Coturnix japonica: one gene and its partner. Each later gene encodes a partner of the first gene's protein in a complex. Links are inferred from orthologs where the notes say so. Each region holds a gene or a part of one and is shown in the gene's direction. Other genes may lie near its edges.

Region 1 (9,233 bases):
CTCTGTAATCAGTGCCATGGTCAGTCAGTCCCTTCCTTGTCTCTGGCTTTCTTACTGTTTGCTTGGCCCTACTGCAGGTGGCAAGGCAAAAAACTCCCTTGTGAAGCAGCAGCACTGAGCTGCAGCTGTGAAAGTTTAACTTGAACCGTGCTTTTGCCATCACAGCTATCAACCTGGGCTCTACACCTGCATAGATGCCCAGCGGTCAGACACAGCAAAGCAAAGGCTCCTTCAGGATTGCTGCCCTGAGCATTGCCTTGCTGAGGACCACAGCTGCTTCTAGAAAGCGTGTGATGACCAGGCCTGAGTGCTCTGTGCTGAAGAGCACTGAAGGATGCCCCAGAGAATGGCGTGCTGAGGGCACAGAAGCCCTCAAAGAGTTCTGAGATGATGTGACATTTATCCCCAGAATAACACACCAGGCCCACCACCTCCATCCAGTCTGGGTCCTGTGGCACTAAGCGCTGCTGACAGCCACCCGCTGTCCCTGTCCCTGCTGCTGCCAGACAGGGAGGGGATGCTGGGCACTGCCTGCTGCTTGATTCCCTTCACCCCACCCCGAGGAGTGGAGGGTTTGGGCTGTGCTCAGACAGAGCAGGGGATGTTTGTTTGGTTTCCTTGGTTACTGCACTGCCTGCTCCAGTAATCACATTTTCCTTGTGCTGGCTGGGCCAAGAGCTGCAGGGAGGAAATCTGGAACAACTGAGGTCAAACACCAGCCTGGGAACAGCCAGGGCCACTGGCCATGGCTCATCTGTGACATTTGGGTCCTTACCATTGTGGGTACCCAACCCGAAAGGGATGTACCAGGTCCTGGGATGCAGCAACAGCTCCCTGCTGCTTTCCTTCAACAACTGCCCAAGGGCTTCTTCACTCCCGCGTGAGCCAGGAACACAGGCACCAACGCTGAACTGCAGGAGGAATTACAGGAATGAAAATGTTTGTGCAGGCAGAAGCCAAGCTGGCTGTGCAAGTAGGGGATGTGAGTGGGGGAGCCTGCGAGCGTGGGTGCGGCTGTATTTATGGCAACGGTGGCAGCAGGGGGTGGCAGCGGGAGGGAGCGTGTGCAGGGGTGACAAGGCTGCTAATGCCCTTTATTCTTTATGCATTCCTTAGCCCAGGAAGCCTGGAGCACTAACGCCAATTCTCATCCTAGGGAGTTCCCCCTGCATGTTAGTGTTCACAGGCAACACTGATTTGTAGCAAGCAAGATAAATTTTAAGTACGTACTTAAAATGACTGATCTCACATCCAAACTCTTTCCCCCCACGATAATTAACTTCAGCAGCAGTGAAAGCAGCACATGAGCTCCCAGCTCCTGGCTTCCCAACACTCAGAAGTGAGAGCCGAGGCTCCAGCACAGCAAGTGCCACTGCCACTCTAGCACATAACAGTCATTCATAGTGACCAGATCAACGTGCACCAGTAAAGCAGAGCAGAGAGAACCACCTACCCAGGGCACTGCAGTGCTGGGTGAGCAGGCACGGGCAGAAGGGCTTGTCAGCCTGCCTGGCTTGACCCTCCTTGCCTTCCTCTCCAGACATGGAGCCGGGGCAGCGCAGCCTGGATGCGGAGCAGATGCAGCAGCAGCAGCAGTTGAAACTACGGGAGCGGCAGAAATTCTTTGAGGAGGTTTTCCAGCATGAAGTGGATTTCTACTTCCCCGTGTCTCACCTGCAGCTGGAGCATCGGAGACGTAAGTGCTGTGGGTGGTGGAGCAGGGCTAGACATGCTTCAGAGATCTGGCACAAGTTAGAGATTGGCGGAATGTCCCCAGTCTAATGGCAGCCAAGGACATGCATGTCCTGCAAGGAGACAGGGCCACACACGCTGTGTGTGGGTGTGCATATGGATTACTCACACCACTTAACAAAGGCACTGAACTGGGGTACCCAGGCTGGCTACCTGCATAGTCACTGGCTCCTCCAGGCAGCAGTTTGGAGCTGAAGCAAGGATTACAGTGACAGCAGGTTTTTATAGGGGATGTTTTAAGCAAATGTGATGTTCATGTGACCTCGTACCAGCAGGTGCAATCTGGTTCTCCACTGCAAGGCTGGCCTCCCATTTTGGGGTTCTTCCTGAAGCCCATGGTTCAGATAGACTTGTATGGTGCCCTTTGCCTGACACTAGTACTCACCTTTTTGCTGACCTCTGTCTCTGCAGCCCCCTTGGGGAGCATTTCCTCGATGGAGGTGAATGTGGACGTGCTGGAGCAGATGGACATGATGGACCTGTCAGACCAGGACACTGTGGATGTGTTTCTGGCCTGTGGGACAGAGGAGAGCAGCGTTTCCGGGCCCCTGACAGGTATGAGCAGTCTGAGCCCTTTGTGGTTCAGAGCAGGAGCTCTTCCTGCCTCCAGCATCTCCACCAGCTTCTTCTTCAGCCCTGGTCACCTTGACCTGTCCCAGTGCTCCATGTACGTGTGCACATACACACATCCTCCATACAAAGACAGTCACTTGGTGCTGGTTACCATGAGGTTGGCAAGGCCTCACCCTGGGCCACTATCCCATGCCACTATGCACCTCCACTGCCCAGAGATACAGACCCTGTAAATATGTTGCACTGAAGAAGACAAGAGAGCCCAGGCACAGAGAGCCCCATGAGCCAGCAGCAAAGCTGGGCACAAGTCCCACAGGGAAAGCCCCGCGTGCCAGCATTTTCCTCCCCACGCACATGTACTGTAGCGAGTCACCAAGGCCAAGCCAGACATTTCCCCAGCACATCCTGTGACTGCAGCTGATGGCCTCACACAGCATGGCTCTGAGCCGTGCTTCTCACAAGACTGAGAAGGCTCTGCTACCAAAAATGGGGAAGGAATGCAAGGCACAGCCCAGAGCCAAGCTTGGGGGGAGCGGTTACAGCAGCCACACAGCTCCCATTGCACCCCAAAGTGGGGTGAAGGAGAAAATGTAGCTTACAGAGGAATAATAAGTGGGGGTGTGGGGGGCTATCTTTAAAGTTTCAGGGGGATGAAGCCTCCAGAAGCCTTTTTCTTCCTTCTCTTACCTCTCTCTCCTCCAGGAGCAGATGCCAGCCAGTGCCAAGAGGAAATCACCCTGCAAGTGCCCAGTGCAGCTGAGACCAAGTCACGCATTTCCTCCACATCCTCTGTCTCTACGGATCCCAACAGCCTGGACACCAGCGAGGAAGGGGCTGAGACCCCTGTGGTGCAGTCAGATGAGGAGGACCTGCAGGAGGACAGTCCTAAAGAGCTAGCAAGAAGCTAGCAGCCAGCTCTGCCCTGCTCCCAGCCTCTTCTGGATGGACCAGCCAGCCTGGAGGAAGGAAAGCTGCTGGCACTCAGTAAACCCCATCCTGGACTGCTGCCTTGCCAGAGGGGAGATGGTTTTCCCTCCTCTCCCTCTGCAGGTTCTCCTGGCATCCAAGGCAGAAGCAAAGGGGTATTGTAGGCTCCCAAAACTAACTCTTCAGGCTTTGCTGCTAACACTTCCTTGCTTCATTCCCCTCAAATGCTCAACATCCCACAGCCCCACCATTCCCAGAAACCATCCCTTGGGATCCCAGCTCCCATTGTCCCACTGACAAGCACCCTATCCAGACAAGCATTTAACAAAGGCATACAGAGAAATAACACTCCTATCTAACCAAGCAGTGGGTGTGTGTGTTATTGGGAGAAAACAGCACTGGGATGAAGGTTAGGTGGGGATTGCAGGAGGGAAAAAGTTATAAAGCAAGTGTGCTGGGAGTGAAACTTGGGAGCAAACTAATGCAGTTCTCCTGCTACATACCTCAGCTCCAGCACAGGGTGAAGCCTTGTAAGCAGGGAGCAGGCAGCACAGACCTCTGTTTGCTCTGCAAAGGTCACGCATGGGCAGGTCACCATGCAGTGCTGCATCCACAGGGCAAGCAGCCAGAGGCTGCAGCATGGCACAGCTGGCCTCAAGGTTTGCTGGTGACCTGTAACAACCAGGATGATTTCCCATGCAAACTGGCTGACAGAATCCATCAGCACACACAGCATCAGCTGCTGCTGCCCCTCCAGCACAGCACACGAGCGTCATCCTGGCTGGAGGCCGCTTTGGAGGAGTGCAGGAGGAGCCATTGCAGTGGAGCCCTGTTACAACTTGCCTCACAGGACAAGCAAGGCCCACTACCTCTATCAGCACATTCAGGCTTAGGAAAGTGTTGTCACTGCCCCAGCTGCATCAGCAGAGCCACAGTCACCCCACAAGTGAAAAAGCCTGGAGATAAACAACAGGGACCTGGGAACACTGTGTACTCACTCAGCTCTTGCCATGCTGCAGGCAGGCAGCCCTGCATGGAGGGCAACGCATCCCTGGGTATGAGGAGCTCCATCACAGCCCTGTCCCAGTATGACCTTCCTCCTGATAGTGTGCCCATACCCAAAGGAACCTGCTGCTGCAGGATGGTGATATCACATGGAGAACAGAAAGCAGGGGGGTATCCTAGGAGAGGGAGCTGTAAGCAGGACGTGAGGCAATGCTGGGCTCCACGCATGGCAGGAGCAAAGAGAGCCCCATATGGTGCCGTCCCTGCAGGAGCCCACAACAACTCCCTGTTCTACCCGGGTCTGGCACAGCTCGACCCACAACCGAACCGCTCCCAGGCCGCACCCCCACAGCGACGCCGGAAGTGGGAGCCATTGGGCGGCCGGATCGGAAGCGGAAGAGGGTGGGCGGGGTGGGCGGCCATGCTGGCGCTGTGGCTGGTGCTGCTGGGGCTGGGGTTGGGGCGGGGGGTGACGCGGGTCGCGCTGCGGGAGGAGCTGCTGCTGCGGCCGCTGCCCGGGGGGGACGTGGCCGCCGTGTTCCAGTTCCGCACGCGCTGGGACGCCGACCTGCAGCAGGGGGCAGGTAGGGCGGCGTGGTGACGTCGGAGATGCAGGTGTGACGTCACGTCGGAGGGCTGTGGTGACGTCATGGGGTCGAGGGTGGTGTCGTGATACGGGAACGGGGCTGCGGGACTGCATGGGGTTGGTAACGTCAGCGGGCGGAGACGTCAGCAGACGGAGCTGTGACGTCAGCAGGCGGAGCTGTGACGTCACGGCACTGACACCCCCCACCCCCCCCCGGTAGTCTCTCACTACAGGCTCTTCCCGAAGGCGCTGGGGCAGCTGGTGGCAGCACACGGTGTGCGGGAGCTGCACCTCGCCCTGACCCAGGGCTTCTGGAGTACCCAGAGCTGGGGGCAGCCGCCCCTGGGAGCCCCTGCTGGCGCTGAGCTCTGGGTCTGGTTCCAGGACACCGTCCCTGAGTACGTACATCTGGCACCGCTGCACCTATGGGGCTGTAGCCTGGTGGGATGCGGGGCTGCAGCTGGAGGACAGCATGGCATCCATCCCACCCACAGCCTCCTTTCTTCAGTGGCCCTGCTTACTGGGGCTTGCCATTAGCTAGAAAGGGTTTGACGTCAGCTGGAGTGAAGGGCCTGTAAGAGAGGAGCAGCAGAGTGGACTTGTGCTTAGTCTGAAGAGCAGAGTGGTGCAGAGAGAGAAAGCTTTTGTTCACTCAAGAAACAATTCCCTCTTGTCTCTGTGATGACAAAGCTCTGGCTGTGGTGGCAGTTACACCCCAAGCTCTCACCCATGACTCACTTCCTTTGACTCCTATACACTATCTGCCACCATTCCCTGTCTAATGTTCCCTCTAGCTTGGCTGCAGCAGCTTAGTGTGGATTCACAGAGCTTTCTGTCCTGCCATCCCACTGAAAGCTGCCTTAAGTTGCCTCATCCAGACTCCATCACTTGCTCCCTGCTCCCCCAGCCTTGCCTACCACTCACTGCCAGCCCAAGGACTACCCCTGCAATGAACACCCACATCTAATGTGTTAGAACAAAGCACTGGGAGGGGTGGAGGGTGAGTGACCAACAACCTGAAAGCTCCTGAAAACCATTGTGGTCACTGCAGTATGTTATTGGATGTTACTGAATTAACACCTGTTATTTTGAGGCTCCAAGCTAATGAGTAATATTTGTCTGTTCTCACACAGTGTTGACAAAGCCTGGAAAGAACTGAGTAACATCCTCTCGGGAATATTCTGTGCTTCTCTGAACTTTATTGACTCCACCAACACAGTCACTCCAACAGCGTCCTTCAAACCCCTGGGTGTAGCCAATGGTGAGCCTGACCCACACATCTGAAGGGCTGGCTTCGTGCACTGACTCTTGTCCCTAGCCTTAGTTCTACCACCCCCGTGCCACTGGGGCAGCTGGGTGCAGGTCCTGCAGGGACTCCTGTGTTAGCAATGTTTTTTCCTGAGTTGATGTCACTGTGATGAGATTTCCCTAGAAAGGGAAATCCTGTGTCCATGAACAAATACCAGAGAGGCTGGTGCTGTTCTGTCTCACTCAGGAGAACAAGTGTTCTCACTCTGTTTCCTGTCTGCTAACCTTACTCCAGCAGCTGGCAGCACCCTATCTGAATACAGGCGTGTACAGCAGGGATTGTTAACCTGCTGGAAGCATTTTCTATCCCTGCTATTGAAGCTTATATTTGTGCACAGGAAACCCACAAGAAATACGTGGCAGGTGCTTGCAAGCCCTTAACTATCTCTAAAAAGTATTTTAGAAAGCATCCAGTGAGAACTGCAGGATTTAAGGAACTCTGAAAAAAGAATCTGTGAAGAGATACCCTAAGAGAGACCTTCAGTCTTTCCAAATCACTCTAAACAAGTAGGATCTATTCCTAATGGAGATTGTGGCATTTTAGGCACCCTTAGAGGGTGCTGTACTCTGGAGTACACTAGAAAATGGAACTGGTGTGCTTCTGCAGCAGAACCATAGAATCATTAAGGTTGGAAAAGACCTCTAAGATCATCTAGTCCAACCATCCACCCACCACTGATACTGCCCACTAAACCATGTCCCTGAGTGCTACATTAAACACTTCCAGGGATGTGGACTCCACCACTTCTCTGTGCAACCTGTTCCAATGCTTGACTACTCTTTCAGAGAAGAAATTCTTCCTAATATCCAAACTGAACCTCCCTTGGCACAACTTGAGGCCATTTCCTGTTATTTTGATGTTACCTGGGAGAAGAATCTGACCCCCAGCTCTTAGGGAGTTACAGAGAGTGAAAAGTTCACCCCTGAGCCTCCACTTCTCCAGGCTAAACAGTCCCAGACTGTTAACTCTCCACTTCCCTACAGGGACAGACCACCGTTTCCTGCGCTATGCTGTCCTGCCCCGGGAGGTGGTCTGCACAGAGAACCTCACACCTTGGAAGAAGCTGTTGCCATGTGGCTCAAAGGTAATGGCAAGTTTCTGCTCCTGCATTGGGCTACACTCTGTGGAGCTAGATGCAGTCCAGCAATGTGCACAAGGAAGTCTCAAAGCCTTGCAGAGAGAAGACCATGGACTGAGTTTTTCCTCTTCCCCTTGCAGGCTGGTCTGGCTGTGCTGCTCAAGGCTGAGCGGTTGTTCCACAGCAGCTACCACTCGCAGGCAGTGCACATCCGCCCCATCTGCCGGGTAAGCATCAAACTCAGCTGCTCCCCCCTCCTTGCTCCAGCAGATGGGCAGAGCAGGGTGTCTTGTGGCTACTTGGTGCTCTACAAAATGAGGAGAATTGAATTTTAGGAAGCTTTCTCCAGTGCTGAGTTGTAGGAGGCTTTATCACTTCCAAGGAGATGATAAACTGGTAGCCTTGTTGTTGTGACTCTGCTCAGTGACGTGATTTTGGTCACCTCTCCTGCACTATCTCACATGTTTTCTAGTCTCATGAGTGCTCTGATGGGACTCTTGCAGTCCTCCTGTCTTGCCTTTCCAGAAGGTGTGATCGGAGCTGTCTCTTCTACAGGATGCTTCCTGCCTGGCTGTTTCCTGGGAGCTCAGGCAGACACTCACTGTGGTCTTTGACAGCTTTACAAGTGGCCAAGGAAAGAAAGGTAAGCTCAGCACCACTATGCTGTGCTCCCTGCAGTCCACCTTAAGCCATCCATCACTGGATTTGCCTCCCACAGATTGGTCCCTATTTAAGATGTTCTCTCGCACCCTTACCGACGCGTGTCCTCTGGCATCAGAGAGCAAGGTCTACGTTGACATCTCTCCTAAGAACAAGGTAACACCCATGGATGAGGGAGCATCCTGCTTTCTCAGTTCAGGGGCACTGGAGCATCCTTGCCTCCTACATCAGGATCTGAGTTTAGAGGTGTCAGCAAGCATGTTGAACTGGTCACTGGGTGGGAGAGCTCAGGGCTGGCTGCTTCTGAGTGGGGCTTTGCTTAGCACCACAATATATTTCAAGGGGAACTTTTCATGATCCACTTGCTTTCTCAGGAAAAAGAGTTACTGGAAGTGACCCCCACACCAACATCTGTACACGAAGCAATTGTCCAAGGAGACAAGACAACCTATGCAGTCTATGACCTGCTCAGCCCTGTGCTCTTCAATACATCTCGCAGCCTCAACGTGCAGCTGAAGTGGAAGCGGCCTGAAGACAGCTGTAAGCTACCTGTGTTATCCCCTCTGCACTGCTGAACAGGGCTCCAGGCACAAATGCTCCTGCCACTGGCCTCTCATTCCTCTTTCCTTTTCCTTTCTGCAGTGGAACTGTCAACACCCATAATGCACGCTCAGCGCTATGTAAGTGGATATGGGCTGCAGACTGGAGAAATCAGCACCCTCATCTACAACACTCACCCATACCGTGCGTTCCCTGTGATCCTGCTGGAGACTGTGCCATGGTATCTGCGACTCTATGTGCACACTTTGACTATCATAACTAAGGGAAAAGAAAACAAGCCAAGTAAGTAGACATTCCTGGCAGCATATTCCATCTGAATCCCTTGGCACAAGCAGCACATTCCAGAGATGGTTTAGTTCCCTCCCTTGGACCCAGCAATCACTGGGTAACAGGCCTGGGAAATTAAACATCTTAGGATGTTTTCCCAGCCTTCAGTCTACTACTCAAGATTTGCCTTTAATAAGTCTGTTCTATAGAGTCACGTGGACGGTGTTTCATAATCCAGAACAGTGCTGAACCAAAGCAAATTGGTTTGGGTAGTAAAAGAATCCTAATTTAAAATTGTTGACTAGATCACATTATCTTTCTTTTTGAACATTGACTTTGATGGGTCATCGTTGCTGTAGACCAGACAGATTTAGTTTTAATGCATTTTTTGTTACCTGTGCATCTTCACTTGCCCAGAAGAACAACTCTTCCCAGGACAGGGGAAGCAAAATTACCCACTTTGTGGAGGTCTCTGGGCGGTGTGAGGCTGGACATGCCCCCTTCCTTCCCCCTGC
Region 2 (9,127 bases), about 4.0 Mb from region 1:
AGGGTGCGAAGCGGAGCACCTGCACCAGGTGCCAGGAGCAGCCTTTCCCCATGAGGAGCTGGGGCAGGCTCCATGCCAGAGGCTCTGTGAGAAATGCTGGTGCCCAATAGTCCAGACTCAAGTGGAATTTGTTATCAATCACATTTTACTCTACGCTATTGCAAGAGCAGATAACCAACAGGGCAGGCACACTTGATTGGAAAGACACAACAGCTTCTATTTCCTACTGCCCTGCACAAGTTCTCATTTCCTCACTGGCTGAGCACTCCAGGGCTTACAGCCTATCCCATACTTCTCATTTTCTTATTACATGTCCCACCCCTGTTTACTGCTTGGTTACCTCCTCCCTGTTCCCCTCCTACTAGTGTTTAGCTTTTCCCTGTTATGGTACACTGAGATAACCCTCTCGTAGTTAACCCTGCCCTCTGACTACCATTCATCCTACAGAACAGATCTGCTCCAGTACATTTCCTGATGTTACTCAAGAATGCAGCAGACCTTCTATTCTTTAAGCTCAGCCACAAGCAGGAACTTGTCAGCATTATGAGTCCTCAGGTACATCTCTTTGGTTGCACAAGCTTCTTTCTGGTGTCATTCTGAGAAAACAACATTCCCTTTCCCACAGTTCCCCCTTTCTGTTTACACAATTGTCTCTTTTGAAGACACATCATCCCAATCACCACCATCTCCTACATCTTCCCTTACAGCCTATGCCTTGTCTGAATATAGTGGTAGCCCTACAGCATCTGCTTAGATGGGATGGTTTTGATTAAATGCTGGACCAACCCTCTAACACAGGGGATAATACAACAGCTGGCTGCTGTCAGAACTCCTGCTATTACAATTAAAGATGTAAGTACTGATACCAGCACTCCCTTCCATTTACTGAACCACCTAGTAAGTGAAGTAAGTGCCCAGGCTATGGTGCAATTTGGGGCTGTATTATTGGGTATAAAGGTGAAATAGTGAATGCCCATCATTTACACATACTTGACCCTTTTCAGCCAACATCATGTCTAACACTATCCTATTTTCCCATGTCATCCTACCAGTGGCACTTAATAGTTAGGCAATCCCTTCTATAATTTACGAAGCCCTGCTGATTATGGTAAATATAATTGATCCAGGCTACATTCTTATTAATAGTTATCTACCAAAATAGAGAAGACTCAAACCTGGCTGTGATCTGGTTCTTTACTTTATGTTCATCAGGGATTCCTTTAGGTACCACCCGGGCAGTTGGGTGCCCCGAGCCGCAAGCATAACACTTGCTATGACTGAGACTCTGGATGGTACATTTTACCCATTCTATCCAGGCATTCAGGTCCCCATATCCCATTTCTACCTCAAACATCTGTCAGAGATCTTTCATTTCCTTAACAATTACAATAGGGTAATCCAGATGACTCCTCTCCCTTTCTGCAAGGTCTTTCTCCTCCCACATAATGTTAGTAACATTGGGTTGTGGTTCCTCTGCTGTTCTGAATCTCGCCACTGGGTCATTACCAGTCCCATCTGCTCCGAAACTATAAGTGTGGCTGAAAAATTTATCAGCCTTTCTAATCATTATCATTACTGGATTACACTGCAGGGGCTGGCAATTTGGCTGAGCAACCCCTTAAAATACACTGACTTGATTTTTCAAAGCTTCGGTATAGTTGAACTTGTTGAGTAAATCCATCCATTATAGGTGGTAGCCCACCACACTGATGATGACGGGGTGCCATGGGGCACAGAATTCCATGGTCCACCAGGGGCATGAAGTTGACCTGAACACTTTGGAATGGTCTTTAAAATGGCCCTGGGTTGGTTCCAAAGAGCTTTCTTATGAATATGTTTTACTAACCACACACCTCTCACAGACTTGTTTGGCTACTGTAAAAATGTCTATACACCCATACTTTAGCAGTACAGCACCACGCATCATCTGAACCCCCCAGTGACTTCCTGGATGTAAGGATGGCTACAATTTCCCTCATCACTTTTTTATTCAGCACCTCTCTTCCATCAGGGAGTATCCACCTTCCTTCAGACTCCTTTGCTCCCAACCCTTTAAGAGCCTCCCCATCTTTCTGGAGGAGAGAGTATCTCAAGTGTGAAATGATTCACTGTGACTTGTGGCTGCAAGGGTGCTTCTTGGGCACCTTTATCTGCTAGTAGATTCCCTAGGACAAGGACCAGCTTCCCCTTCTGATGTCCTTTCACACGAATCTCTGCATCCCCTGGCTGTCCAGGGGAACATTTTCTGGGGCTTTTCCTCCCCTCTCCCGAGGCCCAGCATTATCACTCCCCGTAACTCCCCACACTTCTTTCTCCACCCAGGCCTAACACTTCACCCTTCTGTGGCCGTGCCCCTCGCAGGGTAACGGGATCACAGGTCCAGGCTCCCTTTGTACGTAGTACGTCTCAATCACTCTCACACCAGAGCCTCCCTCACCCAGCTCACAGCTCACAGCCGCTCTCCTGACCCTCCTTCCTGCAGACACACCTGACCAGAACGACATAGCAGCTCCTCTTTCCTACTGCCCGGCACAGCGTCTCGTTCCCTCCTGGCTGAGCACTCCCGGCCCACTCTTTAACTCCCCCTCTGCCCGCCGTTCCTCCCGCAGAACCGATCCGCCCCAATACGTTTCCCGATGCTACTCAAGCAGAACGCAGATCTTCTGTTCTTTAAGCTGGGCCACGAGCCGCAGCTTGTCGGTATTGATTCCTCGGGTGCATCTCCTCGGCCTGGTATCGCTATGCCAGAAGCAACGTTCTGTTTGGCACAGCTCCGGCGAAGGCCCGCCCGGCTCAGCGGCCCCAGCACAGCCGGCCGGGCAGCGTCCGCGCGCCGAGCAGCGGTTCCCCGGACTCGCCGTAGTTCCCGGGCGCTGTCGGGAGCGGCGGCGTCGCGGTTCCTTGTGGGACGCGTAGTCCGCCCGGCCGTGCCGCCGCATTGCCGCCCCGTTGTCCGGCACCGCCCGCGAACTACAGGCGGCGTCGGGCCGGCGTGTGCCCGCGAGGATGGCGGCTCCGCTGGTGCTGGCGGTGCTGGCGGCCGTGACGGTGCGCGCCGCGCTGTACCGCTCCAGCCTCGCCGCCTTCATCGCGGAGCGGGTCGAGGTGGCGTCGCCGCTGAACGCCTGGAAGCGAGGTGAGGCCCCGCGCCGGGCTCCAAGGGCGGATCAACGGGCCGAGGCCTCTCGGGCTCCGCGGGCGCCTCTCGGGAAGCGGGGCCCGGAGCTCGGAGCGGGGCAGGGCGGTCCGCATTGCGCCGGGGTGTGAGGGGCCGTCGGCGGCGGTGTCGAGTCGCTCCCGTCGCGCTGTGACCCCGGGCGCTGTGCTGCCGTGAGCCGCGCTGCTCCGGCACTGCTGCTCGTGTTCCATTTTGTGCTCGCTCGTGGCCTCACGTTGTTACCGACACCGGGTCCAGATCCTGTGCACAGACACGGGGTGTAACCAGGGCTGCTCTGTGACATGCTTCATCGTGGCACCTGAGCCCGCTGCGAAGCACAGATTGCTCTATGGGAACATAATACCTGGGTACCGTGCAGGTGCAATCACTGCAGGTTTGGGGCAGAACACAGTCACACAGTGTAATAAAGGCCAGAAAGCATGAATGCATTTGATAATTAATAAGGTGCTTCACAGGTTCAAAACACAGCCCCACAGGATACCCTTGCAGCAATGGATTCCTTCTAAATCCCACTTTAGAGCTTCAGGCTGTGCCTCCAGCCAGGAAGAGGCCTGGGCTGAAGGGTAACTTCAGGGTAGAAGTGGAATCTGCTTCTTGAGCACACTGCTGATTCAAAAGCCTCTGGTTGCTTCCTGTTATCTGTTTCATTTCTCCATCTAGTTTTGTTCGTTTGAGGCCTCTACATGTAACAAGGCAGCATGGTTCAAATCACACTGTATATGGAGCTTCTCACATAGTTAGTTAGCAGTGTCTCCTGAGAATCCACTCTTGAGGGCCCAGGTGCCGACCAGAGCTGGGTGCCCCTCAAGTCCCACCTTTTAAAAACACAGGTGCAGGCAGTCCCACTGTGTGACAAGTCAGGGAGGTGCAGCAGGAGCAGCCTGCCTGAACGGGGCTCCTGGAACAGGGCAGGAAGAGAAAGTACACAACCTCTGGGAAAAAGTTTGGCTTCACAGGGAGAATACAGAGCTGCGGTTCACATCTGCAGAGAGAAAATGAGGAAGAACAAAGCTCAGCTTGAGGTGATGTTGGCCGGTGTTGTGTCAGACAACTGAAAGGCTTTTATGTTTATCAGCAGCAAGAGGAGATCTAAAGAAAATGCTGGACTGATACGTGATGAAGATGGTCACTTAATGAGTATGCATGGAAAAGGTGGAGGCATTTAATGCTGTGGAAACATTGGTTTCCATCTGTGATGACTAAAAGGGAGCACTTGTATCAGAATGTTTACAAGTCCGTGGGGCCAGGAGTGAGCCCAGAGAGCTGAGGGAGGTCATGGGACTCATCCCAACAGTTCACCAAAGATACTGTGAGGGTGGGGTCTGCGGCCAAAGGCAGCCAGTGTCACAGCCATCCACCAGAAGGACATGAGGGGAGAGACAGGACCCTCCAGACCTGTCACTGGCGGTAGGTGCAGCAGGAGCCAGCACTGTGCCTTGTTCCCTATTTCCGTCAGCAAGCTGAGTTCAACCACATCTTGGGAACCAGGTGCTCAATGTGCATAGTGGCTGTTCAGGTGAACAGACATTTTCTTGATGAGAGCCCTCCTTTTTCCCTTCCCCAGCTCCTGTCACCGTGTGTAGCATCACACAATGTGCAATATCCTTTCAGCTGAGGTCAGTGTCCCAGAGATGTCCACTCCACATTTTGCCCACCCCTGGCCTGCTGCCTCTGGGAGCTGCAGAGTTGATGCTGTGCCAGTGCTACTCAACAAGAGCAAAATGCCAGTGCTGCATCAGCACTGTTCTAGTGGCAAGTGCAGAGCGCAGTGCTGCATGGCTGCTGGGGGCAGTGAGCCCCTCCCTGCTGGGCCCAGCACAAGGAACCAGGCTGTTGGACTCAGTGATAACTGTAGGTCTCTTCCACCTGAACTCTTGTACTCTTCCAAGTTTTCAGTCAGAATTATTCCTCCAGTGTAGATACTGTAGATACCACGTGTCACATGATAGGAGACTTAAAATCAGTAAATACATGTGATTCATAAATACAGGTAACTGCAGAACATTTCATCTACAGCATCTCAAGTTGTCTGAAACAAATGACAGGATGTTTGAGAGCATTCAATTCTGGCTGATAGCTGCTTGTGTGAGATTCTGTGTCTCCAATTCAGATGGTGATTGTGTGAGATTTTTATGAGCTCGGGTGTTTTGAGAACTATTGTTTCATTGCCACCACATGTTTTTCTCTTCCAGCACTGCAGGATTCTAATGTGGATTTGTTTTGTGTTTCAGTGGTTGAAGGATTAGCTCTGCTGGATTTAGGGGTCTCACCATATTCTGGAGCTATTTTTCATGAGGTTGGTATGCAGTGCTTTGTTTTAAACATGATATTCCAGCAGCACATTTCTTAGTCCTATTACGTGTGGATTGGCAAAGGTTGGTGAACTTGTTTTGTCCCAAACATTTCAGAAAATGAAGAGTTGTGTTTGTGCGAGAGTTCCACACAGTGACCAGCGAGGAAATGCAGCTCGTATTCCTCAGAACAACTAGTTGAGAGCGGATGATAGACACTGTGGTGCTTGTAGTGCATAAGGAGAGTCCGGAATAGGGGAAATCTCTAAGAAATAAAATGCTTTGTTCACATCCACATTTCCTGTGAGTAGAGGCAGGAGCGGGGAGAGACAGTGCTGCTGGCCGCTGTAATGCAGTTGTGCTGAATAGCAGCATCTTGGGTTAGAGCACAGTCATGCAGCGTGTTTGTTCCTCATTTTGGAAACCTCGTTGTTCCTCCAGAGGTTTTTGTGCCCTTGAATGGCCTTATTGATACGAATGTAGGCTTATACGCAGCGTCATCTTGGTGTGTCTCACACTTTGGGCATCTCTGAAAATTTGTTTCTTTTCAATAAATTCTTCCTGAAACAATTTTCTCCCAGACCATGAAGCATATATGAATGCTTAGTTATACCATCATGTTATGTTCAAAGTATTTTAAAAGAAATATGTTTTCTGACAGTAAAGCCTGAATTTTTTACCCTGTGAATGTAATACCTTCGTTCCAGGTTAAGCTTTTCTGTCAAAGGAATAATTCAGAAGCCCAGAGGCAGTTACCTTACAGGGCTATGAGAATAACAGGACCACCGCTTTGTTTTCCCATGGCTTCTTTTTACTCTATAGGTAATTTGCCTAACCAACAGGCTGAGCAGGGGGACCAGCTGTGTAGGAAATGCTTTCAAGAGACATGCAAACAACCTGAAAGAAAAAGAGATTCTCAAGGAAGGAAAAAAAAACAAAAAACAAACCCCACTTTCTGAGGCTTTTCTGTTTGTAGTTCTGTTGTGGTTCTACCACCGTGCTGGTAGAATGGCAAGGTTGGAATAGAATGTCATTTTCCAAATTGATGTGTCTTTTATGAAATGCTTTTATGAAATGTACTGAGAACTTTGCAAAGAAAAAGATTCAGTGAATTGTGGTTTGGTTATCACTTCGGTTTTGTTATCCAAAGTAACAGCGTTGAGGAAGGTTACCTTTTGCAGTCTCTCACAGTGCTACTCTGTTTTTCTCCTTGAATTGCTGGTTGCTTTTTCCAAATGGGGATGTGCACTATTTGACACAGATTTCTCTTCTGCTCTCTCGTAGACCCCGCTGATAATATATCTCTTTCACTTCCTGATTGAATATGCTGAATTGGTCTTCATGGTAAGTGCTCCTGGAAAGTTCCTCTTGAAGGGTCCCATTCTGTGAAATGATGAGCATGACTTTCCTTTCACTCCTGCAAGAATCAGGGATCTTCAGGCTCCCTGGAGTCCAAATTCCTGCTGACCTCATGGTTTGATTATAAAGGCAGCTTTGCATGCACAACCCCAAGTTCAGGCTTTTCCCTTGCTCTACGATTTCTTTCTTTTTTTCTTTTTTCCTTTTTTGTTTGTTATTTCTTGGCTAGTTAAACGTTCCCTTGATGGGACAGAACGTTGACATTTGGTTTCAGATTTCAAAGTTTACCTCTTACAGGTCAATCCCTGTATTGCCGTGTTTCTCGTCAAAACCCACTGCCAAACTCCAGGGCCGTAAAGAGAACACAAACGGTTCAGTAATCCAAATGTCCCTTGTTGTAAGCTAATCTGTGAGTTCTGTGTAATTCAGAGGGACAGAAATCATATAGCTGGCTGCACATACCACCTGGTGGAGCCTCTCTCCCCAGCTCCCTGCTGGCAGGTCTCTAACAGGGGTAGCAGCCATCTGGGTTGTGCTTGCACCAATACTTCAGTACTGCTGCCTGTGAAGTGTGGGGCAGCTCAAGGCACTGTTGTTCTGGATTAATGGCACGTGGATTTAGCCAGCTGGGCACTGCCCTGTTGTTGCCTGTGCACTGATAATACCAGTGAGTTCTCTGTTATCCCTGCCGTTTCTTTCACCTTAATTCCCCATTTTCTTGTTCTGCAATTATTAATGTCTGATACATCCCATGGCTTCTGTGTTCATTGGTGGTGTGTGAATACAGTGTACAGATCAGCAAGCTAGTTGGTGTTTTTAAAGCTTTTTTATCCATTAATCAAGTCAGATCAAAGCCCTTACTCAAGTATGCAGTAGCGTCCAATATGTTTTTCTCCATTCAGTTGTTGTGTTTTGCTTTGCTTTTTTAGATAACTGATGTACTAACAGCTGTTGCCCTTTACTTGGCCATCCAGGACTACAACAAAGTTGTGGTAAGCTGACTTGCCATTGTTGCTGGTCCTCTTCTCAAACAAGTACAAATATCTTGTGCTAGAGAGAACTTGCACCAAGCACATCTACTTACTTAGCAGTAAATCTGAGCACATCTGTTTGATAAAAAAAAAAACCAAAACCACACAGGGACTGAGTGTGGTAAACCAGCTAAAATACTTTAAATTCTGTTGTGTGCATATTACATGCTGAAGCAAATTAGTGTCCATAGCTATTGCACAGTATGTGAATAATGAGTGCTGCAGTATTAATTCTTTAATCTGAAAGGAATTAAAATAATTTAACAATTCCTCAGAATACAGTATCCAATGAAATGCAGATTTCTCCAGGGTTGTGATACCTAAGAGGGCTGTGAGAGTGTAAAATGTACTGAAAACTCACCTTTGGTTGTTGTGGCAGTTTGAAGTGTGTGGAATTTAATTGCTGAACTATTGATTTGTTGAGACTTGGCAGTCCCCTTTTCAACCTCTGCCACAATCTTCCATGTATTTTGTAGCTAGAAAATGGAATGTTTTATCCTGAACTTGCCTTCAGGATAAAAATGGCTTGTGTTTGCACTCAGCATGAGTTAATGGACAGACTGGAGAAGCGTAAAGGACCAAACTTTCAAAGGATGCTGAGGAGGCATATGTGATTCTTCAGAGTGAGATGAAAGTTCAGTGCCAAACATGACTTGCTCACTTAGTTATTTTTCTGTTTTTCTCTTACATATTTTTGGGGGTGAATGATTTCTCCCAGCTTTCTCTTACTGTGTAAGCAGTGCTGTGCTCCTTGTGTTCCCAGAGGAGCAGTGGTAGAGCACTAACATGAACAGGGAGGCTTCATTTTCCACAACACTATGTGGTCTCCCATCCAGTTCGGTGCCTGTTCTTTGTCCTCTGATGTTGAAGAGATAACACGATAGAACTGCTGACATGTAAAAATCCCATGTGAGTTATTTCACTTGTTGAGAATTTATTGCCAGTGCTCTCTCTCCTTTTGTCTCACTGTGACATAGTTCAGTAAGCTCATAATTCAGATTTCTCCTTTGTCTCCATTGAGAGCATCAGAAGACAAAGTGTATTAAAGAGAGAGCTTTGGGATCTCTAAAGGAGGTTTGACATAGAGATATCTATCTTTGAAATAATGAGGATGGCTTGGTTATTTGTCTTGTTTCCACTGGGGCTTGTGTGTTGAGCAGTGAGTTTACAAAGTCATATATGTTCTATAGTAATGGAAATCCTAAGTAATAAGAAACCATTACTTTCCTCACCTGACAGTCTTTGGTTATTCTCCCTTGTTCAGTTCA

What was found.
Region 2: the proteins of PIGT (region 1) and PIGU are in contact, whole or in part, in a cryo-EM structure (PDB 8IMX), measured with the Homo sapiens proteins. The link is inferred for Coturnix japonica from reciprocal best matches to the Homo sapiens genes PIGT and PIGU. Residues at the interface, in NP_057021.2 of Homo sapiens: Tyr361, Gly362, Leu363, Gln364, Lys365, Arg394, Leu395, Tyr396, Val397, His398, Tyr416, Pro418, Ala419, Gln420, Asp421, Arg422, Gln445, Glu447, Leu450, Leu451, Lys452, Trp453, Thr454, Pro518, Thr519, Pro520, Asp521, Phe522, Ser523, Met524; in NP_536724.1 of Homo sapiens: Glu30, Lys42, Arg43, Val45, Glu46, Ser49, Leu50, Leu53, Val55, Ser59, Gly60, Ala61, Val62, Pro265, Asp266, Leu267, Pro269, Leu273, Trp275, Tyr276, Phe277, Phe278, Ala279, Glu280, Met281, Phe282, Glu283, Phe289, Phe293, Asn296.

What each region holds. Positions count from the first base shown.
Region 1 is NC_029535.1:4,467,271-4,476,503, reverse strand, and holds the start of PIGT (GPI transamidase component PIG-T), read left to right. Parts: upstream 1-4,483; coding exon 4,484-4,841; intron 4,842-5,063; coding exon 5,064-5,241; intron 5,242-5,976; coding exon 5,977-6,104; intron 6,105-7,135; coding exon 7,136-7,236; intron 7,237-7,370; coding exon 7,371-7,457; intron 7,458-7,785; coding exon 7,786-7,873; intron 7,874-7,948; coding exon 7,949-8,046; intron 8,047-8,264; coding exon 8,265-8,430; intron 8,431-8,532; coding exon 8,533-8,733; intron 8,734-9,233. Other genes in the region: DBNDD2 (dysbindin domain-containing protein 2), read left to right, coding at 802-982, 1,541-1,696, 2,164-2,307, 3,028-3,233. UniProt on the Homo sapiens protein: Component of the glycosylphosphatidylinositol-anchor (GPI-anchor) transamidase (GPI-T) complex that catalyzes the formation of the linkage between a proprotein and a GPI-anchor and participates in GPI anchored protein biosynthesis.
Region 2 is NC_029535.1:490,702-499,828, forward strand, and holds the start of PIGU (phosphatidylinositol glycan anchor biosynthesis class U protein), read left to right. Parts: upstream 1-2,940; 5' UTR 2,941-3,006; coding exon 3,007-3,136; intron 3,137-5,409; coding exon 5,410-5,474; intron 5,475-6,753; coding exon 6,754-6,813; intron 6,814-7,757; coding exon 7,758-7,820; intron 7,821-9,123; coding exon 9,124-9,127. UniProt on the Homo sapiens protein: Component of the glycosylphosphatidylinositol-anchor (GPI-anchor) transamidase (GPI-T) complex that catalyzes the formation of the linkage between a proprotein and a GPI-anchor and participates in GPI anchored protein biosynthesis.